Astyanax mexicanus: one gene and its partners. The protein of the gene in region 1 purifies or fractionates together with the protein of each later gene. This does not show direct contact. Links are inferred from orthologs where the notes say so. Each region holds a gene or a part of one and is shown in the gene's direction. Other genes may lie near its edges.

Region 1 (7,586 bases):
CTGTGACTATCCTACAGGTCTACAGCTTTGTGTTTGACCGCTTGCGCAGTGTTCGTCAGGACATGGTCATCCAGCGCATTTCTGGTCCGGATTGTGCAAGTGTGTTGGAGCGAACAGTGCGCTTCCTTCTGTATGCTTCTTACCATCTGTGTGGGCAACCACTTCGGCTTTACGACCCGCACATCAACGACACACACCTGCAGGAGAGTCTGAGCTGGCTGCTGGAGTGCTACGCTGAGGGACAGCACAAGCACCAGGACGAGTTTCAGGCCCTCAGCTTGCTCTACAACCTTGGTGAGTAGAAGCATTTTGCTCTTGTTATGACAGCAGACTTTTTATGACAGCATAGCATCCTTGTAGGGGAGAACAGGGCATAATTTATTATTTTTTTGTTTGTATTTACACCGGGTAAAACAAACAAATTAATGCTTCTAATGAGTTAGTTAGGCCTACTATTTATGAACAATACAGTTTTGTGTTGTTTGAGCCGTTTTTGAGTTTGTTTCTTACTAACTGGATTCCCCTTTTTCCACCATTCAGCCAAGTAAAGTAAGTATCTGAACACAGCAGAGCTAGCAAACACTACTACAAACATCGGCTGCAATTAACAGGCTGTCACAGCTGGTGTTTGGAGTTCAACATTGTTTACAATTGAGCAGATTCCTAAAAAAGATAATGTACAGAACAGATAAAGACCGGAACGTAAAACCCTTGCCTGATTTATCATTAATCAAATCAAATCAAATTTATTTGTATAGCGCTTTTTACAACTGGTGTTGGCACAAAGCAGCTTTACAGAAACATGATTAACGGACAAAGAATCAGGCAAAAACATTAAACACACAAAATTCGGAATACAGAATACAGAACCCCCAGTGACCTCTAGTGTTCATTTCTGTAAAATCTGTGCATAAAAAAATGTTCTGCTCTATTTTGAGGATCATGGTCTTCCTCATTTGTTTTTATTGGGATGCAAAATTCTGTATCAATTTGCTTTTTTATGAACACTGAGCATTTTATTAGATACTAATAGCATATTAATACACTTAACAGATTGACAATTCCTCTTTAATATCCATTGAAGGAATCTTCAGGACTGTCACTGACCAGATGAAGTTGTGGATAAGCTTGCTGCTGATACAAAATATTATACAGCTGCAAAATTGTAAATAAATACTTTTATCCTGGTGTACATTATAGTTTCAAATGAAGTCAGAAACTACAGATCTCAATCCAGGTTGTTACTTAATTAAATTGTATTTACAGCTCTATAGTTGCTGCTCTTTTAATCGAGAATGTGGATTCATGTTGCTGCTAGATATTTTCTAAATTGTCCTTTTGTGTTTATTTGGTTTCCAGGTTCACCACAAGCTACACAGCATGCTCTTGCACTACCTCACAAAGTGCGAACTTCTCCACCAGTTCAGTTGGCTCTAGCGGTCAGTAGGGCATACATGGAGCGCAACCCTGTCCGTCTCCTCCGCCTAGCCCAGAAACTAGACTTCTTGCAGGCCTGCGCCCTCCACCGGCATCTTCTGTCCTGCAGGAGGGATCTGCTGCTACTCTACAACCACGGACACAGCAGCAAAAACTGTCGCTTCCCTATCCAGAAGCTAGCAGACATTCTCTCCCTGGAGCAATCCCTGGCTGTTCAACTTTGCCAGGCTCATGGAATACAAATCAACGGGGACTGGGTTGTCTTCTCTAAGGGTTCCTTCACAGAGAGCCCATCTGAAGGTCTGCAGTGTGCTCATATGCACAAACTAGTGGAAGACAAGCAGCGAGGCCTTTCAGTTGGCAGCATCATTCATGGCATTGCTTGAAAACGTGACATGTTTAAAGGTGTTTGCTAAAATTATTATTAAGAAATTGGAGTTTTGTTTTAATACAGGAAGTGTCCTGTCATGCTTTTAAAACACTGTTTTTTTTCTGGGTCTGTACAATTGAAAACCCACAATGTTGAATTATGAAACACATTTCAGGTGGCACTTAAAGCCTTTAGCTTTTTTTTATGAGCATTTCAGTGACCTTATCAGTTGCATGTAAAATTGTATATACTAATAAAATGTTTTTAATTGAATGGTCTGTGAACTACATGGTAGTTAACACTACCCTGCAAAAAAAATCTCACTTGCTACTCAAGTCTGCATGTGTCAGTACAGCATAGCAAAGTATTTTGGAAGGACCTGGGGCCTCATGTACTAAAGGTGCGTACGCACAAAAACATTGCGTACGCCATATTTCACGCTCACGGTCTGATGTACTAAATTTGACTTGAACGTGTGAAAGTGCGTTCCCCCACGGAAGTTTTGTTTTGGGCGTACGCCTTTTTTTTGTGCGTATGTATTGTGTTTTTGTCATTTGGCGACACTTAGAGGCGATGCATTGAAATTACAACTATTAAGATATCCTTTATGCACACATTGAAGTAAGCATTATTGGGTAAAATAAAGTAAATTAATCAGACAGTTTCATTGTCTTACAGAAATAATCGTTTAACGTGTTTCCACTTAGCCTAGATCAGGTTTGCGCTGGAGTTGTTGGAGATGCAGCGTTGGCATTACTGGAAAATACTGCTAACGGCCGAATACATTGAGCGCGCATTTTCCGTGACCATTATGTTTTTTTGGCCCATGATGATGACTGGCTTATAAGCAGTTTTAGATTTCCAAGAGCATAAGAAAACAAGCTGAGTGCGTGACGTGTGTCTTTTTGGTAGGCAACTCATTTAAAGCATTTAAATGAAAGCATTTATCTTAGAATAATAAAACTTAAAACATGGGTAATTATACGCTATGCGTATATAATATTATTATTATTATTATTATTATTATTAATAATAATAATAATAATAATAATAATATTATTATTAATAATAATAATAATAATAATAATAATATAACATTATACTCTGCGTAATTGAGGGAGGAGTCGTGGCAAGTGTGCTGCTTTCGTGCATTTGCGCTTGATTTCAAGTTGATTGTGATGTACTAAGAGAAAGTACGTGGGATTCTGCCTACGCACGGTTTGATAAATCCGGATTTTTTTGTGCGTACGGAACTTTTCAGATCTGAGCGTACGGAACATTTTAGTAGGAAGTCCACGCAAGTCTTAGTACATGAGGCCCCTGGTGATGATGATTTCCGTTAAGACCTCAGGTAACACTTATCGTTAAGGGCCGTTTTAAGGGAATTTTCACTTTTGTGTTTTATGCAACTGGGCATAATTTAAAGGAAATAATGCATAATATAATGTTGAAGGGGAATGCAATCCATAGTCCTGGCAAAACTTCATGCTTTCTGGATAAGGTGCAAACTTTCAATGCCTAGTAAAGGAAAAGTAGAAAAACTAAACATATTGATCGTGTACCAAAAGCATACTTAAGATCATTTGCGCATTTGGAGCCAAAAATCAGAATAAAGTGGTATTTAAAAAAGTGGTAAGACTTTTTAGATATCAACAAATAACCAAACTGTGGTATAATCAAATAAATGTTATTTTTCAGTTGAGGGTGATCTCATTTTCACTGATTTTCAGATGCACAATGACTCGACTAGTATATATGAAAAACATCTCCTAGCCCTTTGCTTTTAAACATGTAACAGGGAATTAACAGGGGTCCTTTTATTTCCTTCCATCTTAATGTGTTTAAGAGTATCAGTTGTGTTGTAAAGAGGAAGAGTATAATACAGTGAATAGCCCTATTTGAGTAATGTTCTGATGCATATTATGTCAAGAACTAAGTAAAGAAAAATAAAACACTACAAGAAATGGAGGTCAGTCAATCAAGATAAAAAAAAATCAAGAACCTTGAAAGTGTCCTTAAATGCAGTCGCAAAGATCATCAAAATGTTTAATGCTGAAACTGGCTCTCATCAGGACTGCACCAAAAAAGAAAGACCAAAAAACATGCTGTTGCAAAGGTTCATCAGAGATATCAGCTTCAGAAACCACAAGTTAACAGCACCCCAGATAGGAGCCACCTCAATGCTTCACAGAGTATTTTGGTTTGGCTATTTTTTACTCATTTAATGTGATTTAGAACACTTTATAATCATGTTTTTTATGGTGTTTTATGAAAAAAAAGTCAAGAAGAAATATAAAATATTAAACAGGCTTCCAATGCAATGGAAATAAAAATAAGCTAATAAATATTTTAGTTAATTGGATTTATTTGCTATATGACTACATTTTATAGTAGATTATTAGAGTCTTCTTTTCTGTGCATTACAGACAGAAAACATAACTGAAGATAATTCAGGTCTGAAAGGGTTAAGCGTTTCTGTATTTTATTGATGATGATTATGGCTTACAGCCAATGAAAACAAAAAAAAAGTCTGTTTTAGAAAATTATTATATAAGACCAACTGGTACTTTTGGCAGTGTGCCAAGTCCTGCTGGAAAATGAAATCCACATTTCCATAAAAGTTGTCAACAGATGGAAGCATGGACACCACTAGAGTGTACAACTAGTACGACTGATTTAATGACACCAATAGAAAGAAATGCTAAATAATAAACTGTATAATGAGGCTGCTGCTAACGATATACCGTCGATATACCGTCGGTTTGGTGTATTTGTCAGATCCACTGTCGGGGTTTGTTTGGGACCTCCTGGAGGCGGATTCTGAGGACTCGCACTGCAGCGGCTTCACTACAGTAAAATACATTCAGAAAAACGATGGGCGAAGCTGAGGCTGTACCCGCCGACGAAAAGCAGGGGGATTCGGGAGTGTGTGCCGCTGAAGAGTCGGTGGTATGGAGTCAGGAGGTGGAAGTGTGTCTGTTTCACGCCATGCTGGGACATAAACCCGTCGGTGAGCTGCAGTTTTTGTGTTTCCTTAAGTGGCTCCTTTCAGTAGGCCTCGAATCCCCAGCGTAGAGTTCAGCTTGGTCCGGGAGCCGGGAGCCGACAACCGGCCGGCTTGTCTGTGGACTTGGTGTGCTCGGTTTGGCTTTATAAAGACAGAGAGGCATTGTTGAGTGAAATTACTGCGCTTGCTAAGTTAGACATTGATAATTAATAACCTTAACTTAAGCTCACTAATTTAGTTTAGTCGGAAAGCATCATGAGTTCTGTATTTTTAGTTGAATTACTGTTAGCTTGTTAGCCTCGCCAGCTAACTAACCTAGCTAACTGACTAAGACTAACACAATCTCTAGTGTGCTCTGCTGTACTGTACTGTAAATAGTTTTACAGAAGCCAGCAAAGTTATAAATAATCAGTAAGTTAATGTTAATTGCAAAACTATGTTTTTAATGCAGTGTTGGTTTAATCACCATCTGCTTTGTTTAACCACAGACCCAGACCAGCATCTGTCCAGCGTGCTGATACCCACAGCCCAGACAGTTCTGTCACAAGATTCATAAAAAAATCAATTATTTAGAAACGTGTTTAATAACGTATTTTAATCCACTTCGCTATTTAAAACTTTAGCTAAAATTCTGCTTGGTGCACAAAAGAACATATCAATGTCATTAACAACAGATGCAGCAGCACCAGTTCTCTAATACTAAAGTTTACAACCAAATATTTAACTAAACATGTTTTTCTCCAAATCAAAAAGTGTAAAATGTACATATCAACTCAGAGAAACATACAGATAAAACAGTAAATGCTCAGATGACTCTGATTGGATTCTTTATTGGTGCAGCTTGGTGGAGAATGGTGTTACAATTCCGTTTTAAATAAAAATTCATGTCTGTTATAAATTTGCATTTATATTATATAATGCATTTTGGCCAAAACAGACAAGACGGCTGGTAGCCTTTAACTGTCAGTTGGATGCTATACTCATAGCTCTAAAAATAGCCAAGAAGACTATCCTCATGAAATGGAATATAAAAAAATACTCCTGGCTTTCAATCAGTAGAAAAAAGTTTTCTACAAATCTTTATATGTATATGCCAAAAATAAAATCACTAAATAGAATTCAATCTGGACACCCGTCATTGACATCCTCCGACAGTGATCACCCCACACAAGCAACTCTACAATAATAACAGATAAACTAAGGTCCAATACACCAACCATTGCTACTGTTTACTTATTTTTTTTTTACAAATAATGTAAAAATGTAAAGTTAGATCAACTTATCAAAGCAACCTTTGGTTTTATTTAATAATTTTATAAATCTCTCATTTTAAATCTCCCATTAATTATTAAAGTTTCTCTTCAAACATTTATTTTTCTTTTCTTCCCATATTTTTGTTTTTGGTCAGTAAGCCCCTCCAGGTCAAACGATTTACTTGCATATATAGTTCACATTATTGATTAAGCCTAGGTCTGGAAACATAAAATGATGAGAAAAAGAGAGAGGAGGATATTGGGACTCTTTGGTCCTAAGGACTGCTCGCAATGAATAAGTGGCAGAATGTTCTGTATTCTACATCTTTCATATGCTAAAGTCTTGAACTTAGTCAAAATTGTGCTAGAAACCAGTGATGAACAAAAGTACTGCCACAAGAGCTTGTTATATATATTTAAATATTTAAAGAATTATTATATTTATTTATCCATGTATCTTTTGTTGTGTTTTAATTATACCTTACAATGTAAATAGTGTCTGGAAAGGTATTCTATGCCACTGTAAGTCTGTTATAGTTATTTTAACCAGGTTGCTGTTAACCAATGTGTTAACTTGTTTTTTTTGCACTGGGGTTTAATAATTTTTTTTTATTTCAGGGGTTAACCGTCACTTCCATATGATTTGCATCCGTGATAAATTTAGCCAAAACATTGGGAGGCAAGTATCATCAAAAGTCATCTGGGACCACCTGTCGACGATGTACGACATGCAGGCACTGGTGAGGCATATTTGACTCTTAATGTATCATAAACTGTGGTAAAAAAAAAAGCATAGCTAATTCCTCCTCGTTCCGACAGCACGAGTCTGAAATACTACCCTTTCCCAACTCGGAAAAGACCTTTGTCCTGCCGGAGGAAATAATACAGGATGTCAAAGAAGGTGAGTTGCATTTACATGTATTTTTAACTGACATTGTAATTTGTTAAGCATTAGCCATAATTGTCATATCTGAATGTATATTTTTCCTTACTTGCTACAGGAAAAGTAGGTTCAGAGGATGATGTGAAGGACGAGTTCAAAGAAGAGAGAGACCTTTCTGCCACCCACGAAGAAGGTCCTGTTTTTTCCTTTTACTTCTTTGTTGCTCTCCTCTACCTCTCTTCTTAGCCTTCTCTTTCTTACACTTTCTCACCTTTCTGACGCAAGACATCGTTTTAAATCTGCGTCATTGCATTTTTTCTTTTCTTTTCTATTTATTTATTATTTTTTTCTTTTCTGGATCGTTCTCCCATTTGGCCGTAGCTCGGTGCAGCTCACCCTGGTGATTTGTGTCTCATTTTCAAAGGTCTGGGTCCCAGTATGGCTGGCCAGGAGTTTGCAAGGTATGGACAGAAGAAAACGTTTCGCTCTGTTCCAAAACTCCAGCTTGAGCTCAATACAGACCATCTCAGTACCAGAGGCCTCTGTAGGCTGCCTCCAGAGACCTCTGAGCATGTGCGTCTTTCTCTGTCCCTCTTTATCTTCCTCCTTTTCTCTCTTTTCCTTAAGTGTAGTAGT
Region 2 (7,157 bases), on another chromosome or scaffold:
TATGCTCTCAATATAATAAGCAGAACTGCAGGTGTGTATATCAGAGTGTGTGAGTGTGTGTGCACCTGCTTGGCAGTTTAACTGCTTTGCTATCTGTATTTTTCCATAGTGTTCACAGCTCCACTGTTTACAGAGTCATCCTCATGATGTAGTGTATACAGTAAACTGCACGTTGTGTGACATGTTAATGCTGAATTATTGTGTCACTGAACCACATTGCAACTATTTTTAACCGGAGAGAATGGCAGTAGTATACGTCTGCTAGGAAGTGTGGTTTCATTTTATAATTAAAAGCGTATATGTACACACTTCTAGATGTCCTTAAATAAAACATAGAGAATTATCATTAAATAAAGTTTTCAATTCAAACTTAACAGTAACTTTATTAACACCACCTCCATGTTTCTACATGCTTTGTCTATTTCATTAGCTTGATTTACCACATACGAGGACTGTGTAGTCCTATAAATCACAAACAGTAGTTCTTCCGTTTCTCTATTATCCTGTTTTACTCCTGTTCTTCAATGGTCAAGACCCCAGAGGATAAACCACCACAGACCAGCTATTATTATATGGGTGGCGGGTCATTCCCAGCACTGCAGTGATACTAGCAAGGTGGAGATGTGTTGGTAGTGTGGATTGTGATGGTATGAGTGGATCAGACACAGCAGTGCTGCTGGAGCTTTTAAACCCCTCAGTGTCACTGCTGGACTGAGAATAATCCGCTAACTAGGAATATCCAGCCAGCAGCGTCCTGTAAGCAGTGTCCTGATGAAGAATGACTACTTTTTACTACAATTATTTTTTATATATAAAAACATCATTATACATTCCATAATAACCAAGGGTTAGATTAATTCCTATACCTATTCATTCAAATCTGTGGCGCCAGTCGGGTGTAGGGGAAGGAGGAATGTTAGAGGTTATCTGCAAGCAGGGTTTATCACATTAACTACTTTAATGATTTCCATGAACTTTATATCTAAAATGATTTACATTTCCATCAGATTACAGCAGCAAAGCTCAGTGTTTGCCTTTCAAACACACACACACACACACAGTGTTTCACACGAGTTAACTTTGCTTATATTTGGCTGTTTATACGGCTGAGTAAGATTTGCTATACTGGTATGCTAGCTGGTTTACCAGCTCTTGACCTGCACAATGTATTGTAGCATCAGTGTGGGAAGGGTCAAAGTAACAAGGCTAAACCATAGCTCCATAGTCCCAGCAACTTTATTGAAATATTTCTTTTAAAAATGGCAGCCCACTGATAGAGACCCTTATTCACCCCTAACACTAACACCAGCAGGGTGAAAAATGCTCCACCATTGCAACCACCACAAATAAAATAAAAATAAATACAAATAATCACAAAAAACCTAAACGACCCAAGGAACAGAAAGAATGCAACTGAGCATGCTGAGAACTCTAGTTCTATGTTACACAATTTGCTGCAAGTTTGCACTTTGTTGTCTATATTGTACTGTTTGTTCCATGTTGCACCATGGTTCCAGAGGAACGTAATTTCATTGCACTGTGTACTTGGACTCGGATGAAACGGCAACAAAAGACTATTGACTTGACTTGAACTCCCTGATAGATCCTAAAATGAAAACTCAAAGATTAATTTTACCTTTAAACCTAGAGAACCTATGCATAACAACTCTAACTTAGGCACTATTAGTCCTCAAATAGGTTTTGGCAGACTTCTGACAGAGGTGTATGTTCCTCAAGCTGAACTGTGTTTCCACAGCCAATAAAAAGAGTTTGTATTGGTAGAGCTAGTATTGGTGTTTGTGGTAAAGAGTTGCTGATGAAAAATCAATTGTACTGAACCCTTATCTACTGAGCAAAAACCAAACGTTTTTGTCAGACAATATAGCATGTCTATTCATGCAAGACCATGTAATAAATAGCACAACAGTTACAATAATAAGTAAACAGCTCCTGTAAAAACATTTGTAGCCTACTATATGATGAAATATCAAGTCATAAACACTATACATATTGTTTTTAGACTGGATGTCAGGTAAAAGTATAAAATGTTTATGTATTATTTACTGCAACTAGTGTGTGCAATGAACAGATACATACTCACTAGTGAATACACTTCAAAGACACATACATGTTTTGTGAGAACATATGCCTGGAGCGATGGGGAGGTGCCCAGGGAGCAGTGGCCACTTAAGAGCCTTGCTCAACAGTGAGACAAATCCAGGTATCGAGCCTACAACCTGGTATTGTTTGTTTTAAGGGTGTAGCTAAACATTTCCTGCTAGACAAGTTGCATTCAATACAATACACTGCAACACAATAGCTTACATTCTAAAAAAAACCTTTAAAAATGGCAAAAATGTCTGGCAGCTAAAACGTCCAGACATTGACTGTAAAGATAAAGTAAGGGATAGGCTGATCTAAACTGGTAAGCATACAGTTTTCTAGTAACATCTATTTAACTTTGGCTATCAGAAAATCCTCATGTTTGCCTACATGTTAATCTGTTCACAGAAAGCAAATTTTGATATTCAAACCAGTCCATAAAGCATTAGCTGTGCTTATATTGTTCTTATAGAATTCTTTGAAAATATTTGCATCAAACTTCACTGACTTCAGGATAAGCTCTGCTTTGTTTAAACATTGTGGGGCTCTTTCCCCTAGTCTAGATCTAAACAGAATATGCTGTGTATTACAAGACTAAGCTTAATCCCTGCCTGGGAAAGTAATCCTGTATGATCAGGATTTGGTCCAGTCTTTTTACAATTTTTACATTGTCTAATGATGATGTTCATGGAAGGCCAGTGATTGTTTGACTAATCTATGTAGCATTTTACAGCTGGATAGACAATAGCTGGTTGCAGCCAGCCATTCATGAGTCAGAGTTATTTAGGCAGGGACACAATGTACAGAAGAAAAGTATGTTAGCCCTAAATCTCAGCGTGCCTTGGCATGAAGCCCTTACGTGAGATGCCATCCTTTTGACTTCACCGACCAGATAATCTGCCCTAAAAAGATAAAAGAAAAGAATGTGTTAAACAAAAAAAAAAACAGTTTTTGAACTTTCTTTGCAAACCATAGTATCCTAAATACTTTTAAATGTGGAGATGTTGTGAATTTGTGTTTAAATAACATACATTAGGTATGCCATGTATGCTGTACAACTTGTGTCACAGAGGGAAGCATGAAGCAATTCTGTTCTCTAACTTGAGACAGACTATGAAGAAATCTTTTGAAAAAACCCTGTATCTCATCATCTTCATGTTGCAGAACCTTCCTAAATGAGACAGAATGACGCACTGCATATCAGTACTGTCATGTCAATTATTATTACAATTTTATACACTTGAAAAAGGCAGCAGTCATTATATTTTATATGTAAACATTTTTTGACTAATGGACCAAAAGTAATTCTTCACAATTATGTTTATGTAAACTCATGACGCAGTCATTCACAGCAGTGTTTTGGCAGCAACAAAACACACTGCCACTATGACTGTGCATCAGTAGGAATGTTCCACTCCTTCACCAGTAGACTTTATGGTACGTCAAACCACAGGCTGACGTCAGTGTCCCATCCCTTCATTTCAGCAGTCCAGGAGATTAAAGATGATAAATAATAAACACCTGTCTCCTTTGTTTTGATTAATGCTGTTTTTGGGCAGGAAGGAAGGAAGCAGGAAATACGGGTAATTGTAAATGACAAAGTAGATCATTCAGAGGTGGCATATTCTGCATCATTTATGTATTATAAATGTGAGTGATGAAAATTGAAGAGTTCACTTTTATACATTAATAATAGTTAATCTTTGCATTCCTTATTATAATTGTTTCATTACTATATCACTTGACTGAGTTTTATCAGAAATTACTTTTTTATTTGTATTATAGAGCGACTTACAAGGTTAGTCCTTCTACAACCCAGTGTTAGAGGTATTGTCCAAGGACTCCTCTTGGTGTAGCACAGAATAGTCACCCAGACCGGGAATTGAACCCCAGTCTCCCAGATGGTGCACCAGTAGTAAAATTATGTGTTATTTGTATACATTTTATTTTTATTATATTTATTTCATGCCAATTTAACACTGTTAATTGTCCTTCTTTTTCTTTATTATTATTATTATTATTATTATTATTATTATTATTATTATTATTATTATTATTATATTATCATTACAAGTAAATGTCTCAGAAGACAAACCAACAATGTGCAAAATATTAACCAAGCAGTTTTATTTATAATAATAAATTGACTTAAATAAAAAGTGCTTGTTTTTGCCATTTTTAGTTGGATATTTTCGGTTGCCTAATATTTGGTGCATACCTATATTTTGTTATTAATGCCACACATTTTAATATAAAAAAAGAAGTGACGTGAAAAAAAATCAACTAAAAAAAGGTTATCCCAACCACCAGCCTCTCTCATCCCTTCAGCTTAGTCATTTTTCTCAGTCCTAGCTCCACTTATCAGAAGGGGTCTGGCCTTCCTGCCTCCTGCTCTGTCCCTCTTACAGTCTCCTCCCACAGTCTCCTCCCACATCATCATATCCTGATAGTGTGGTCAACTCTAGCTAAATAAAAAACTGTGCCTAATGTCCTATTACGGGTGTGAATGTGACATTGAAGATGAGTGCTGAATGTTACACAACCATATATACCACATATGTCACAGGCCCACCTTTTGATCTGATGCATGATGGGATGAAACAGTACAAGTCATGCTCTTTCTATTTCCTCCTCACTCACTTCAGAGCATGTGGTCTGGATTCCAGTCCTGTTATTAGAGGGGAGAGGGGAGATGCGGGTGGGGGTGTAATAGGCCTCCCTGTACTTCACCATCAGCAACAGCAGCAACAACACATACCCGACCAGTGAGATCATCGCCCACTCCATCTCACAGCTATGTAACTGGGGGCCTGTTGAGACACTCAAGGCCCAGGGTTCAGACAGACCACCCTGGATGAAACCAAAACAAAGGCCTTCATTCATAAAACTCTGCCTCAGAGTAAACTTTTCTAATGTTTAAAACAACAGTTTTTTTCTGTTTTATTTCTGTCCTTGATTCCAGTAAATTTTTTGATGTGAGGAAGGCTTTGTTTCCGTGGTTCTAGCAGATGTTCTGCAGAGAAAGAGCAAGAAAAAGAGACAGAGAGAGGGAGGGAGAGCGTGGGGAGGAATGTGGGGAGGAGACTTCAAAGTGATAAGTAACCAAATACGTCCCTTTGAGGACAAAGCTCTCTGTTTTTGTGGGAACAGACAATCTCAGGCTTTCTACCAGGAAAACCGAAACTGCCTTTTCTCCACAAAGGACAAGATAAATAGAACATTTTAACCCTACAATGGCAGAGCTTCTAAAAGTTTAATTCAAGATAATTTAAGTACATTGTTCTAGAAAAATAGAATGTACAGCTGGAGTTCCTTATAGACTCGTTTCAGTCTGATCTTTTGGTCTTTGGAGCATTTTAATTGGTTCGTTGCTGGCACATACCTACAGCACTCCCTGCATATCTTTACATAAATGAAAACGAGTCGAGACTTCTTCTTCATTCTTGTGTGCACGAGTCTGACACACCTTAGTTATACAAGCTGCTGCGTGGGAAGATAGATCAAACTCCACACTACAACAAATGTTAAAGAGTAAACTTCAATAAGCCTGATTCATTCACTGTGATTTCAGATCATTTCAAAGCAGTGTTAATAATATACTCATAACAACAAAGCAGCAGCAATGTCTTATCCAGAGGTTTCACAGTGAGTCAGTGAATATAGTCCTATGGTTTCCTGCTCTTAATATACCTTTAAAATGTTCTAGGAACATTAAGCAATAGGCACAGATTCATGTTTGGGGAAACTTTAGCAGTTGAAACATTTGCAGTTCTGTGCTCTTCATTATTGTGTGCATGTGAAGTCTGCAAGGCTTTAGTGTGGGGTGTCTCATTCTAGTCCTCTACACTCCCTTCCTGCAGCATTTGGTTACTGCAGATTTAAAAGTGCCCTAAATTTCCTTGAGGTACAGCCAAGAACTGATTGAGTTGAACTGATATGAGTTGATGGCCTTGTTTACACCTTTCTGACAAACAGCAGAGAACATTTCCAGCTGTTATTCAGCTGAGTTCATTCATTTAACTGCTCATTGAGCTGCATAATGTTTGTCATGTGAACTGAGCTGTGGAATACATCAACCAAATCAATGAAGGAAATGCGTTAAAACAGGAAAAATGGGTAAGCATAAAGATCTGAGCAACTGTGACATGGGACACGTTGTGTTGGCTAGACCAGTATTTCTTGACACTATTTATGGTGACTCACTCCCCTGCACTTTTTGGTTTTTTAGTGCTTCCAGATCCAAATAATCACTGAACAGCCCATTATTAAGTTAGAGTGTGTGTATGTTAAAGCAGAAAAAACATTAAAATTTGCAATACAGTGAGCCTCATTGACCAGGGTTAAGAAAACGAGAAAATGAAAAAAGAGTTAAACCACTGGGTCAAATCTTACAAAAATATCAATGGTATGCAGTGGTCAGTTTACCCATCAAAAGTGGTCTGAGAGAGGACATGCAATAATCTGATGATAGGGTCATGCACACCTATAGCTCACTGAGACCCCACCTCATAACATACAGGCATGCTGACTTAAAGGATCTGCTGCCAAGATAACAGAACTTTTTTAGAGGCCATTGTAATGGTCAGATCTGTTAAGCTGGCACAAGGGCGACTTATTCAGCATTAAACAGGTGGTGCTAATGCTATGACTGATCGCTGCACATGCAAATGAGCTTTAAAAAGGCAAACAAATAAACAAACATGTATGACCGATAACAATCTTTCTGGGTATGACATACGCAGAAACTGCACGCCACACCGCTCTGCCCTTTCAAACCCAGCACCCTCTAGGTGTTTTTCGCTCTGCATCTGCACACTGCAAATGTAACCAAACCTGGATGAGCACCGCATGGCTCATAGCTCTATTTGAGAAAGGCCTAATATAACAAAAAGCTAATAAAATAGTCAGGACTCATACCGGCGGCCATTGTGCGCCGTACAGGATGTGTAAACTTTGTTTAGGATAGTGTGTTCTTTCGTGAGTTTAGGGAAATGGAATACTTTTTTTTTTCCTTGAATGTGAATGTGTGAATGAAAAGTGGGAGACAAGCAATG
Region 3 (6,929 bases), on another chromosome or scaffold:
GAAAGAGAAAAACAACAAAAGTGAGTGAAAGAAAGAGTGATTAGGTGAGCAAGAAATAGAGAGGGAGAGAGAGAACAACTAGAAACATGAGTTAAAGGAGTAAATGAGAAAAAGTGAGATAAAGTTAGAATGAGAAAGAGAGAGAACAACTGGAAGACTGAGTGAGAGAATAGTTGAGTTAACGAACAAGGAATACAGACTCAGAGAGTGAGAGAGCAAGAGAAAAAGAGAGAGAACAGCTGGTAAAATGAGTGAGACAGTTAGAGTGGATGAGTGAGCATTGAGAAACAGAATGAGAGAGAGACAGAACAACTGTGAGAGTTGAGCAAGAAATAAAAAAATAGAAAGTAAGAGAGACAGCATCTACTAACAGGAGACAGGAGGGTGAGAGAACATTATACTTGGTGAGAGGATGAGTCGGTAGTGAGAGAAGTGAAAAAAGAGTGCTTGAGAAAGAGAGGAGTAAGCAAGATAGCGTGAAAATTGAAAGAGCAGAAAAATAGAGTAAAGAAATGAGAGTGTGAAAATATAGTGAGTAAAAAAGCAAAAGAATGAGTGAGTGAGCGAGAGATAATGTGAGTGGGTAAGTGACAGTGAGTAAGTGAGTGAGAAACAGAGGAGGAAGTGTAATAGAGGAATGCAGAGGGTCAGGAGGTCAAATATGTGTATTACTGTCTGCAGGGATGAGCTGAATGTGCCCCTGGGGTGAGGGAGTGAAACAGTCACTGCTGGCCTTCTTTACTAATCTAAATGTGGCATTTCCATATAAATAATCTTGTTTCTACACCCATTATCCTGCTATGGGTGTAGAAACAATGTATGCTATTTTTTCTCAGCTTTACTGAGCATAAAGAAACACACTGTAGTTCTACAATTACAGTATTTAATCATTCTATTTCTCTGCATACTTTATTATCCTCCTTTCACCCTGTTATTCAATGCTCAGGACCCCAGAGGATCACCACATAGCAGATATGGAGTTTTTGTATATATAAAGCTCTGGAAAAAAAGGCCACTTCAAAATTATGAATTTCTTTGATTTTACCAAATTAAAAACCTCTGGAATATAATCAAGAGGATCAAGAGATGGATGATCACAACCATCCAACCAAGCTGAACTGCTTAAATTCTTGCTCCAGGAGTGGCATTAAGTTATTCAAAAGCATCATGTAAGACTGGTGGTGGAGAACATGATAAAACTGTGATTAAAAACCAGGATCATTCCACCAAATATTGATTTCTTAACTCTTAAAACTTTATGAATATGAAAGATTGTTTTCTTTGCATTATATGAGGTCTGAAAGCTCTTTTTTGATATTTCAGCCATTTCTCATTTTCTGCAAATAAATGCTCTAAATGACCATTTTTGGGGGGAAAGTTGGGAGAAATGTTGTCCGTGGTTTATAGAATAATATAATAAAGTAAAGTCTTTATTTTATTAGATTAAATTCTATATTTGTTGTGTAATTATTATCTTACCATCTTCCTATATCCATTATTATACCTTAAATCTTGGTACACCACTACACTGCAGATTGGGCTTTAGTTGCTGGTGATTCTGCTGCACAAACAGTCCAGCTATAAATACACACAGAACCTCATCAGAGAATCCATGTTCTTTCTCATGAGCCATCAGGGAGTATTTCACACAGCCCAAAGTCACGACGGTCCAGTGAGAGACAGGGGTAGTGCTGGTGCGCTTGTGGCTTAAATATCTAACATTTTTCTAGCATTTCAGATTTCCTCAGAGGTCTGCTTATGACATCTCTAAGTATGTACTGATTTATATATATTATATATATATATATATATATATATATATATATATATATATATATATATATATATATATATATATATATATATATATATACTATCTCACAGAAATATGAATATCTTTGAAAAGGTACTTTATTTTAGTAATTCAGTTTTAAAATGTGAAACTCATATATTATACAGATGTATTACACACAGAGCAATCTATTTTAAGCATTTTTTTCTGTTATTGTTGATGGTTTATTGTCATGGCTTGCAGCCAATGAAAAAACAAAAATCTGTGTCTCAGAAAATTTGAATATTGAATAAGACTAATTAGTCTTCGTCTTAGTCATCTGCTGGTGTTGGTCCACTGTGCTTCCCTCTGCTGACAACTTTTATTAAGATGCTGATTTCATTTTCCAGTAGGACATGGCACAGTGCCCACACTGCTAAAAGTACCAAATGGTCTTTAAGATTTTATAATTTTCATCAACGATAAAAAATATGTGTAAAAATGATAATCTCATGCTCCCTGAACCACTCTTTCACAATTCCAGCTCCATGAATCCTGGCATTTTCGTCTTGGAATATTCACGTGCCATCAGCTAAGAAAATATCCATTGATGGAATAACCTGGTCTATATTCAGTATATTCAGGTAGTCAGCTGATCTCATTCTTTCAGCACATACTGTTGCTGAACCTAAACCTGACAAACGGCAGCAACCTTAGATCATTTGCTTAGTTAAATCCAGCTGGGGACCTTTTTTTGGCCAGGCAGTGTACCTTTCCTAAGGTTGATGATTGGGGGTGAATTTGGGATGTGGGGGTCACAACATATTTTGAACCTAAAAAGGGGTCGCACAGTAAAAAAGGTTAACACTCTGCTTTATATCATAATTTATTCTGGTCTGGTGCTACAAATACATTTATTTAAGTTACAAATGAAAGCAATTTGAGGCAAGTTGTATATATTGAATTACCAACTGTAAACCAATGTGCCTGTAAATGAAAAGTCATTCACTGCTGCCCTCTTCAGGCTGATCGTGGAAACTAACCCCTCCTTTCCATACCTGAACTCTTTCTTTACTCGGCCTTGAGATTTCTAAGGAGAGTCTGTTTAGCCTTTGTGTTATTCCCTCATATTGATCCACGACAGCGGTTTGACAGTATAAAATGTATTATTATTCTGAATAGAAGAAATACGTATTATGCTCCATACTGCAACAGTGAATACTGAAAACTAAATATGAAAAATCTGTATCATGTTCTATACTGAACCTTTTTTTACTCTGTAATACATTGAGGGTAACCCTCATTTTCAATGCAGCTGAGCATTTACGACCTAAAGTGACTGAAAAAAATACATTTAAATTACAATTAAAATCAGGTAAATCCGAAGAGCTTAAACAAGGACCTTCATAAACAAAACAATCAAAATTAAAAGGTAAAAACATTCAAAAAACAGCAAATAATAAAATATTTAGTTAAGAAGAAATAAAATAATTCAGATTAAAAGGATAAGTGGACAGGCTAAAATGTAAAGCAATAAAATAAAGAGATAAATCATTTAAATAATAAAATATTTAAAAAAAATAATATTAAATAAAACGATAAAATAAATGAAATAAAAAGCTACAAGGCCAAAAGTTAAATCCCAGCTTGCCACCAACGTCCATAGACGTTAATTTTAGGGTAAAAGTTGGTCATGAGGTCAGATTCAGAGGTCAGAAATATTACGTCAGGATAACGTCTAATACCGTTATGTGCCTGCAGGGAGGAAATCAATAAATAAAAGGACGAAATGGATAAAATAAATAAAATGGCAAAAAGCTAAAACAGAAAATGTAACACAAAAAACACAAAATAAATAAAGCAATAAATAAAACCAAAGAGTCAAGAATCGTTCACTTCACAGTTTGTGTTGTTCATCCACTAATCCTAAATTATAGCCCACATAAAGCTTTACACGGGACATAAAGACATACAAGGTGGTCATAATGTTATGCTTGTTTTGTATACAGTCCATTAACACGCTGTGCGCGTTCCTTTAATAAAAACTACAAATACCATGAGCATTTTCAGTGAAGGCGGGTGCTGCGTAAGTAAGTCACCGACCAATCCCTGTGCACGTCTACGCCGCCAGGCCCCGCCCCTCCGAAATCGCCTTTTTTTTCTTCGGCGTTCAGCGAGGCGAGGCGCCATATTGAAGAGTTCTCCGTTTTCTGCAAAACCTCGAAAAATACCCCGTTAGCCACCATGCTGTACCTGGAGGACTACCTGGAGAGTGAGTATAGGTGTTTCTGTGTTCGCTCGCTGTGGTGGCGGTGTGTTCGTGTGCTGGGGGAGGCCCGTGTCGCGGGGAAACGGCCGCGCGGTCGTTAGCCGCTAGGCTAGCTCCTAACTCCGCTTTTTCTTCTCTCCGGCAGTGATCGAGCAGCTACCCATGGATCTCCGCGACAGGTTTACGGAAATGCGAGAGATGGACCTGCAGGTTCAGAGTAAGGCACTGCATTCAGCGGTTCTCTCTCAGAGTCTGACCGCTGAGACTTCAGCCCTGCAACCACTGCACTTTACTGACCCATAAAAACACTGAAACACATTACAACTCTATTATTTCACTTTTTAAACGGGTTTTCTTCAATTTCTCAAATTATGTAGATTTTCATTTCTGCTCTTCACATGATTAATTGCAGGAGGAAATTTTGTTTTTTTTTTCATTCTCTTAACAAAATTATCAAGCTAAATTTGAAAATAGAAAATTGGGTTTAAAACTTAATTATTATTATTATTTCCATTCAGTATAGCGAAGACGAAATGGGATTCATCCAAATTATTATAATTCGTCCAAAATATAATAATTAATTATCTAGTTTTTCATTTAAGCTATTCACAGACAGAATTTCATGAAAAATGAAATTCTTTCGATTTTTAAATTTGTCAATTTTTGCATCTTGTAACACAAATCGGATGGTAAAATGCAAAAATGAAAAAAATTAGGGGAAAAAAATGAAATTTGGAAAAGTCGATGAAAAACTATATTTAAAAAAATAAATAATGAGTTTTACGTCAAATTTTCGATTTTTGCATTTAACCTAAAACGGTCATAAAAATTAAATAAATAAACATTACACTGACCATTATATCATCAGATTTTTGTTACAAGATGCAGAAATGGAAAAATTAAAAAATCAAGAGAAGATTAACTACATATTTTTTACAATTTCCCTGAAACTATTTGTGATAAATGTCAGAAACTGAAAAAAATGTATGAAATCCTTTATCAGCATTTTTCTGGTAATGGGATCAAGGGAAACATTTCAGATGATGTTTTACCACCACTTTTCTATTTCCCAATTTAGTCGTAACTTTATGTTCTAAAGTTTGACCAAAATTTGAATGTGTTTTATAATAAAGTAGTTAATTATAGATGCTGAGTGCATGGAGCAGAGAAGAAAGAACCATGAGAGCTCTAGTAACTGAAAAATTGTAAAACTTAAAAAAAAAACAAAAAAAAAACTTAAGATTCTGTGTGAAGTAATAATAATTTATGTAACATAAAAATAATGTAATATATCAACACAAAAACTATTATACATAAATATCTTCACAGAAGAAAATAAGCATCACATTAAATAGCGAAACAAATGACACTCAAACAAATAAATGTGTATAACACTGATATGACGTGTTTGTTATTCTCACATAAAAATATTGCCCTCTAAAAACAAAAGTTCTCAAATTTTAGGAAAACCACTGGAACACTCCTGTTTTATTTTTTATTTTTTATTTTTATCCAGTTGCAGGCTTGACACATAGCTGTCCACTGTTAGTACACATATCTCTTAGTTGGTCATCCACTTGCAAATAATGACCCTCTTCCTGCTTTTCAGATGCGATGGACCAGCTGGAACAGAGAGTTAATGAGTTCTTTGCCAACGCTAAAAAGAACAAACCAGAATGGAGGGAAGAGCAGATGGAGGTTATTAAGAAGGTACAGAACAAAAGATGCAATTCTCTGTGGAATCCGTGGTTGGAGCATCTGCTAAAAATAACTAATTGGTTAAAGTTGTTAAATTCTGAATCAGCCCTTAATCAGCCCTCTAAACACATCTAATTGTGATGTTTACTATTCACAGTTTTGTTTTTCCACACTTAATGAACTGTATTATTAAATTATTTTTGGCTGTTTTGCTTAGCCTGTAATAAAGTATTAATTTTGATTGCAGAAGCTGTAATTAATGCATATCTTCTCCTCTGTCTCTTTTATTCAGGATTACTATAAGGCTTTGGAAGATGCAGATGAAAAAGTTCAGCTAGCCAATCAAATCTATGATCTGGTGAGTATGGATGATTGTACCGCAGTACACTTTATGTCCACTTTATGTCCACTAGAGGCAGTCACTCATTGTGAATGTACTCTTATGTGTGGAATGAATTGGAAAGATGTTTTTGTATATGCTGTGAAAGCTTGTTATTCTGATGTCTGATGATAAACAATTCTTCATAGTTCAGTTAAGGATTGTATGATTTTGTGTGCGCTCAGGTGGATCGACACTTGAGGAAGTTGGATCAGGAGTTGGCCAAATTTAAAATGGAATTGGAGGCTGATAATGCAGGAATCACTGAGATCCTGGAGAGACGTAAGTGTAGTCTGTCTGCCAAGCTAGTTATCATATGTGAGGACATCAGCTGGGAAATGTGGATCTCTTAATTATGCAGTGCTATGTGCATAAGAATGCTTGTTTAATTTATTAGTTGTTTAAGCAGCCTTTCTTAACTTACCTTTCTTCTTTTCTGTAGGGTCGTTGGAAATGGACAGCCCTTCTCAACCTGTCAATAACCACCATGTCCACTCTCACACCACAGCAGAAAGTAAGACAGTCCTCTATCTGTGTTCACTGTATGACTGCACAGTTTATTAGCCGTGTCTAAACATGCTAAATAAAGAGTTCGTACGGTCGTGAAAACCTGGAAAAGTCAAGAAATTTGAAAATAGCAATTTCCAGACCTGGATAAGTTTTAGAAAAATAAAAACACCCAGAAAGTTTAGAAAAAGTCATGGAAGTTTGGTCTACAAATCTTTGTGTTTCAGTTTATCGATTGAGAGAATTTATTCTAAGTTAACAAATACGTCAGATCAGAGTTAATTCAGTAATTTAGCCCTAAACAA
Region 4 (6,873 bases), on another chromosome or scaffold:
TAAAAACTAGACAACTGTAAAGAAATAAAAGGTTTGATAGACATGAAATGTTTGATCTGTATTCACTAAAATGTTGATTTTAAAATAAAGTAATGACAAGGAAATCTATTTTTTATTTTTACATTTTCTATATTGTCCAAACCTTTGCTAGTTTTATTTTTAATGTCAGAGTGGGGTTTTGCCAGTAGAATTATTCTTTTAATGTTTAAATAAGGCATACCTTAAACATATAAAAATGTGTAGATTAGTTATTTTCATAGGGGTATTAAAAGGTGTTTTGTCAGGCATATCTTATTTTTCTGCATTATACTTAATAAAATATAGTGAAAATAGTGCTTAAAGTTATACATGTTGTTGGTGTGTTATTGAGAGAGAAATGTTAGTGCTGTAAATACAGAATAAAAGTATTTTTGCTGTTATGGTATCTCCATGTTGGCAGTAGCTTTTGTAACAGCACCAATAGCAGAACAATGTTTGCTCAGGTAACCAGCAAAAGCTATTATGGCCAGAAAAAGGTCAAATACACTGTTTTTACAATTTATGTGTGTGCCTTTTTAGGAATGGTAGCAAGGGGCACATTAAGGCCATTTACTATAAAATGTTGCCCTCTCTTACAGACTGCAGGTATATATATATATATATATATATATATATATATATATATATATATATATATATATATATATATATATATATATATATATATATATATTATGGCAAGCTATGGCAAGCCAAACAGGAAATATATAATAAAAGCTGATATATATATATAATGAAAGCCGATATATATATAATGAAAGCGATATATATATAATGAAAGCGATATATATATAATGAAAGCGATATATATATAATGAAAGTGATATATATATAATGAAAGTGATATATATATATATATATATATATATATATATATATATATATATATATATATATATATATATATATATATATATATATATATATATATATATATAATGAACTCTGATATATATCTGATATATATATAATAAAAGCTGATATGCCTGAGAGACTGAAGGTGGCGTTGTTGTTTCAGCCGGCCGCAGCTCCTCGCGCAGGGGAGGCCGACCACCGGCAGGCAGCGCGGCGCATTCTCTCCACAGAGGAGCGGCGCGACCGGCCTCGGACTGGCTTTAAAGTGTCAGGGGGCGAAGGTGGCAAAAAAGCTCCGGCCCGCGAGCTGCTTTCACCGAGCCGGGGACGGTCTACCAGTGTTCATTATATACATATCAGCTTTCATTATATATATATCAGCTTTCATTATATATATATATATATATATATATATATATATATATATATATCAGCTTTCATTATATATATATCAGCCTTTATTATATATATATATCAGAGTTCATTATATATATATATCGCTTTCATTATATATATATCACTTTCTATATATATATATCAGAGTTCATTATATATATATATATATATCAGAGTTTATTATATATATATATATCAGAGTTTATTATATATATCAGCGTTCATTATATATATATATATATATATATATATATATCAGAGTTTATTATATATATATATATATATATATATATATATATATATATATATATATATATATATATATCAGAGTTCAATATATATATATATCAGCTTTCATTATATATATATATATATCAGAGTTCATTATATATATATATATATATATATATATATATATATATATATATATATATATATATATATATATATATATATATCAGTGTTATCCTTACTTCCTTTTCCTGATGATTTAATTTCCTGTTCCTATTTTTCCCCCCAAGCTAGCTGCTGTTGTTAAAAAAACTTATGGAGTTAATATGGAAATATTTAAAATGAGATTTAACTAATTAAAAAATAATTAATAATTAGTTTCTCAAATCCCTATATTTTCCCTATATATATATACGGAAAAAATAATTAATAATTAGTTTCCCAAATCCCTATATTTCCCTATATATGTATACGGAAAAAATAATTAATAATTAGTTTCCCAAATCCCTATATTTCCATATATGTATATATATGGAAATATAGGGATTTGGGAAACTAATTATTAATTATTTTTTAATTAATTAAATCTCATTTTAAATATTTATTTAACATTTTAAGCAATTATTTCTTTATTCATTTATTTATATGATATTGTTACAAATAACACTCCATAAGTTTTTTAACAACAGCAGCTAGCTTGGGGGAAAAACAGGAACAGGAAATTAAATAATCAGGAAAAGGAAGTAAGGATAACACTGATATATATATAATGAACTCTGATATATATATATGATGAAAGCTAATATATATATAATGAACGCTGATATATATATATAATAAACTCTGATATATATATATATATATATATATATATATATATATATATATATATATATATATATATATATATATATAATGAAAGTAATATATATAATGAAAGTGATATATATATATATATATATATATATATATATATATATATATATATATATATAATGAAAGCTGATATATATATATAATGAACACTGGTAGACCGTCCCCGGCTCGGTGAAAGCAGCTCGCGGGCCGGAGCTTTTTTGCCACCTTCGCCCCCTGACACTTTAAAGCCAGTCCGAGGCCGGTCGCGCCGCTCCTCTGTGGAGAGAATGCGCCGCGATGCCTGCCGGTGGTCGGATTCCCCTGCGCGAGGAGCTGCGGCCGGCTGAAACAACAACGCCACCTTCAGTCTCTCAGGCTGACTGTGCGGACCACCCGTTTACCTCTTAAAGGGTTTTAACAGCTTTCATTATATATATATATATATATATATATATATATATATATATATATATATATATATATATATATATATATATATATATATATATATCAGCTTTTATTATATATATATATATATATATATATATATATATATATATATATATATATATATATCGCTTTTATTATTTATATATCAGCTTTCATTATATATATATATATATATATATATATATATATATATATATATATATATATATATCAGAGTTCATTATATATATATCGGCTTTTATTATATATATATATCGCTTTCATTATATATATATCGGCCTTCTATATATATATATCGGCTTTCATTACATACATATCACTTTCATTATATATATATCGACTTTCATTATATATATATCAGCTTTTATTATATATTTCCTGTTTGGCTTGCCATAAAATATATATATATATATATATATATATATATATATATATATATATATATATATATATATATATATATATATATATATAATCTTCTCATTTAATATTTTTCTTTATTTATTTACAATTAAGGGACAAATTAATTACATAGAAAAGGAGGAGTCAACAAAGATGTTCTTTAAACTTGTTTGACTTTACTTTTTAATTTGGGAGAAATGTTAGTAGTTCACAGGATAAAACATGTTCATTTAAAATTTTACTTAAATATATACCTATAAAAATGAGAAACTGATCATTTTGAAGTGGTCTTTACATGTTTTTTTTTTTTGTTTATTAGCCTAAAGTTAGGTCATGATTTGTGTGTGTTAATTATGGGAGATTATTGGTAAATTGTTAGGGTTGTAAATACTGAATAAATGTGTGTAATGTTCGCCTGTGGCCCTTAAATCCGCTGTAAAGCAGAAATGCAGTGTGTTTGTTGTGTTTTGGGGGCCTATAGCTAACTATAATCCTGCGTCTCGCGCAGGCCGCTTGCGTTTCGTAACGTTCTCGTGAGCGCGCGTCCTCGTGCTCGTGCCTGTGTGTGAGCGCGAGAAGCTGCGCGCGCACCCGCACCCGCCGCGTGCACGCGCTCTGCTGCTTGCTGCTCGCTCTCCGTGTCTCGCGCTGCCTGCCGGGATTGCGTTCATGTCCGCCATGTTCTCTGTGGCTCCGAGAGCGGAGCGCCCGAGTAGGAGTAGCGCGGCGCCGCGCAGCCACTAAACCCCGCTGCAGGAATGGCCCCGGCCGCCGGCCTTCGAACGCGAGGGAGTCAATGATCGGCACGGCGACGGCAGAAGGAGTCGGCGGAGCGAGAATCCGGCGGGCGCGGCCCGTTTCCCCCCCCGCGTTTCCTCGGCGTCGTGTTGTTTGCGTGAAATCACACCGTCATGAGTAAACTCTCGTTCCGAGCGCGGGCGCTAGACGCCGCCAAACCGCTTCCAATTTACCGCAATGGAGACATCCCGGACCTCAACGACTGCGTGTCCATCAACCGCGCGGTCCCGCAGATGCCGACGGGCATGGAGAAGGAGGAGGAATCGGTAGGTTATCGCTTTAAATCGCCTTTATTCCACTTCATACACGGGTATATTCGGGTGTGTGGCGATACATGGCTCTTAGTGGTATTCACAAACGGTCATTACGCTAACTGCGTAAGCGACGGTTAACATGAGCTATCTAGGCAGTTAGCTATATACTACGCTGTATGCGTAGTGTAGAGAGAAGATGGCGAGGGCGGCGTTGTGTGTGGTGTTTTTTTTTGTGTGATGTTGCTGGTGGTTTACGCAAACGAGCTCTGCGCAAACTGCGTACGCAGTCGTGCGTACGTAGTCCTGCGTACGTACATACGCCTGTGTTACGCCTTTGTATGCCTTTGTCTAGTGCTTTAGCGTGAGCCGAGTCGTGAATTGCGTAGCTAGCTGCGTCACGTCGTAGAGTGTCGGTCCGTTACCATCTGCGCGTTTTGAAAAGCGGAGCCTGTGTTGCGTCGAGTTGCGCTACCTGTCGATTTGTGCTTCCTATACATTTTGCGCATGCGCACACAATACCAGTTTTTAACAAATTTTAGCTACAGAACTTCATAGTAATTCCTCAATAGTTTTACTCGGCTAAGTTTCACAATTTCAGTTTGCTTGTACTCGTTTTTTAAGATATGTTTGTATTTTGTTTTACCTTAGTTGTCTATAACGTTAGCTAACCTAACCTAGCTAGCCACCCTGATAACCTAAGCTACAATGGTTTAGGCTGTATAACGTAAATATATAGTTTAGCTAGTAAAGCTATGAACGTTGCGCATTTTAATAGACTTCGTATTGCTTTATGCGCGCGCACACAGTAATGTGTTCCCAGAGTGGCTTACCTGATGTTTAAGTGCAAGTAAATTTGAATAATATCCGTTAAAGTAATAATATTACCACAAGGACAACAATAATAAGCATTATTTAAAAAAGTTTAGACACTTGTTAAACGTTTAGAAAATTTACAATGAAGAAAAATGTGAAATAGCAGCTAATATAACCTAGTGTTATTATTAGCAGTTAAAATGAAATAGAGCTTTACCTAGATGTATAAATAAGCAGGGAGGCAAGGAGCAGCGCTTTAGATGTTTGGGTGAAAGTAAACAGCCCTACTTTTGCTTGAATTATTCTCAGAATTATACTTGGCTGTTTTATTTAAGCAGCTTTAACTACTTAGGTAGTAACTACATTATACACCATGGTAGCACGTTTTGACAAGGTATCGCAAATCGACAAAGCACCGCTTCAAAGCCTGGCTAGGCTAGATTAAGCTAACGTGTACACAACAGTTAGCCTAGCTTAGCTAGCTAAGTTAAATCTGCAGTATTTTAGGTGATGATTGAACTGCGTGGTGCTCTGTCACCATTAAGCATTCATTATATTACACCTATTTAAGCATACAAACATGTATTTAGCTATTTTGGTTAGCGTTAGCTTGGATTGTTAGCTAGCTAGGTTGCTAACTATTGTAGCTTAGCTAGCTTAGCTAAAAAAGGAAAGACTCGGATCCTTATTAGCTAATGCTTACGAGAAAACCTACGCTATTTGGTTGTTTGCGTGTGTGTAAAAAGGTTGTAGGATCATTTTAATACAACACTGCTCTATAGCTTATTAAACTGATGGTGGTGCTAGCTAAGCTAAAGTAGATAGATGGCTAATATATATCTAGCCAGTTAGGTTAACTAGCTAGCTAGCAATTGAGATTATGGCGCGTTGGGAAATTCAAGCTTTATTTTAGCATGAATTCACTGTTTTTCACCTACATCTGTAGGTTAAATCTAACATCCTGCTCTTTCCTGTAATTATTTATTCGAATGGTTTATTATATAGGTTATATTGTTCTTTGGATATTAAAACCTTAATGAGACGTTTGTAAATGATTTATTCAGTGATTTATGAAGCTTGGTTTTGTGGTGTGACCTTTATTAACGTCTAAAAGTTTTATATTATGTGGAGATTACTAATAATAGCTGTATACTGGTGTGTCATGATAAGAATAGTTTGATATATCATTCCAGAAATTATTGTGAAACAATATTATCCTTTTTATACCGTTAAATGCCACTGACATTATGGTAATATTATAACATAATAAAGCAACTGTACCCTTTTTATAAAGACAACACAATTAGAAATTAATCATACTTTGGTACATATACTTTTTTCACCTACTGCAGACCACACTGTGTGTATGGGTAGAGTTTTTAAAGCACTGGTCATTTGCATGACTGGCTACAATACTGTTTACTGTTATTTATGTGAGCAAATAAACACAATAGACAGTATCATTACTGTCATTAGGTCATGTTCATTTATTGTATGACAGGGCAATAAAGTAATTGTTGTGACAGGCCTAAACTTAGGTCTGTGGTGTGACCTTTATTAATACAAAATTGTGTCTGTTACTTATCATGTTTGTTGCTATACTGGAAAATAAAGAGTCTTAGATAGTAGGGTGTTCGATATCGTATTGTGCGTCACAATAATATTGCCAAAAATTCTACACAATAAAGAAATTGCATTATTTTTTATATTTGGTATGTACTGTATTTGGCTCATATTACTTATTGGCTAATATTTGGTGATATGGCCAAAATTTATA

The links.
Region 2: the proteins of MRG/MORF4L-binding protein (region 1) and vps72b purify together in Homo sapiens (co-immunoprecipitation; 5 studies listed by BioGRID and IntAct, counting the BioPlex papers as one, with this or other methods). This does not show direct contact. The link is inferred for Astyanax mexicanus from reciprocal best matches to the Homo sapiens genes MRGBP and VPS72.
Region 3: the proteins of MRG/MORF4L-binding protein (region 1) and ing3 purify together in Homo sapiens (co-immunoprecipitation; 4 studies listed by BioGRID and IntAct, counting the BioPlex papers as one, with this or other methods). This does not show direct contact. The link is inferred for Astyanax mexicanus from reciprocal best matches to the Homo sapiens genes MRGBP and ING3.
Region 4: the proteins of MRG/MORF4L-binding protein (region 1) and epc2 purify together in Homo sapiens (co-immunoprecipitation; 4 studies listed by BioGRID and IntAct, counting the BioPlex papers as one, with this or other methods). This does not show direct contact. The link is inferred for Astyanax mexicanus from reciprocal best matches to the Homo sapiens genes MRGBP and EPC2.

The regions. Positions count from the first base shown.
Region 1 is NC_064420.1:29,040,608-29,048,193, forward strand, and holds the start of MRG/MORF4L-binding protein, read left to right. Parts: upstream 1-4,576; 5' UTR 4,577-4,681; coding exon 4,682-4,817; intron 4,818-6,685; coding exon 6,686-6,807; intron 6,808-6,886; coding exon 6,887-6,968; intron 6,969-7,068; coding exon 7,069-7,148; intron 7,149-7,374; coding exon 7,375-7,411; intron 7,412-7,586. Other genes in the region: sac3d1 (SAC3 domain-containing protein 1), read left to right, coding at 18-294, 1,360-1,823.
Region 2 is NC_064413.1:39,939,709-39,946,865, reverse strand, and holds the start of vps72b (vacuolar protein sorting-associated protein 72 homolog), read left to right. Parts: upstream 1-4,135; 5' UTR 4,136-7,157. UniProt on the Homo sapiens protein: Deposition-and-exchange histone chaperone specific for H2AZ1, specifically chaperones H2AZ1 and deposits it into nucleosomes.
Region 3 is NC_064409.1:8,057,562-8,064,490, forward strand, and holds the start of ing3 (inhibitor of growth protein 3), read left to right. Parts: upstream 1-3,923; 5' UTR 3,924-4,015; coding exon 4,016-4,043; intron 4,044-4,185; coding exon 4,186-4,257; intron 4,258-5,649; coding exon 5,650-5,750; intron 5,751-6,030; coding exon 6,031-6,096; intron 6,097-6,302; coding exon 6,303-6,399; intron 6,400-6,559; coding exon 6,560-6,631; intron 6,632-6,929. UniProt on the Homo sapiens protein: Component of the NuA4 histone acetyltransferase (HAT) complex which is involved in transcriptional activation of select genes principally by acetylation of nucleosomal histones H4 and H2A.
Region 4 is NC_064418.1:14,791,126-14,797,998, forward strand, and holds the start of epc2 (enhancer of polycomb homolog 2), read left to right. Parts: upstream 1-3,869; 5' UTR 3,870-4,142; coding exon 4,143-4,295; intron 4,296-6,873. UniProt on the Homo sapiens protein: May play a role in transcription or DNA repair.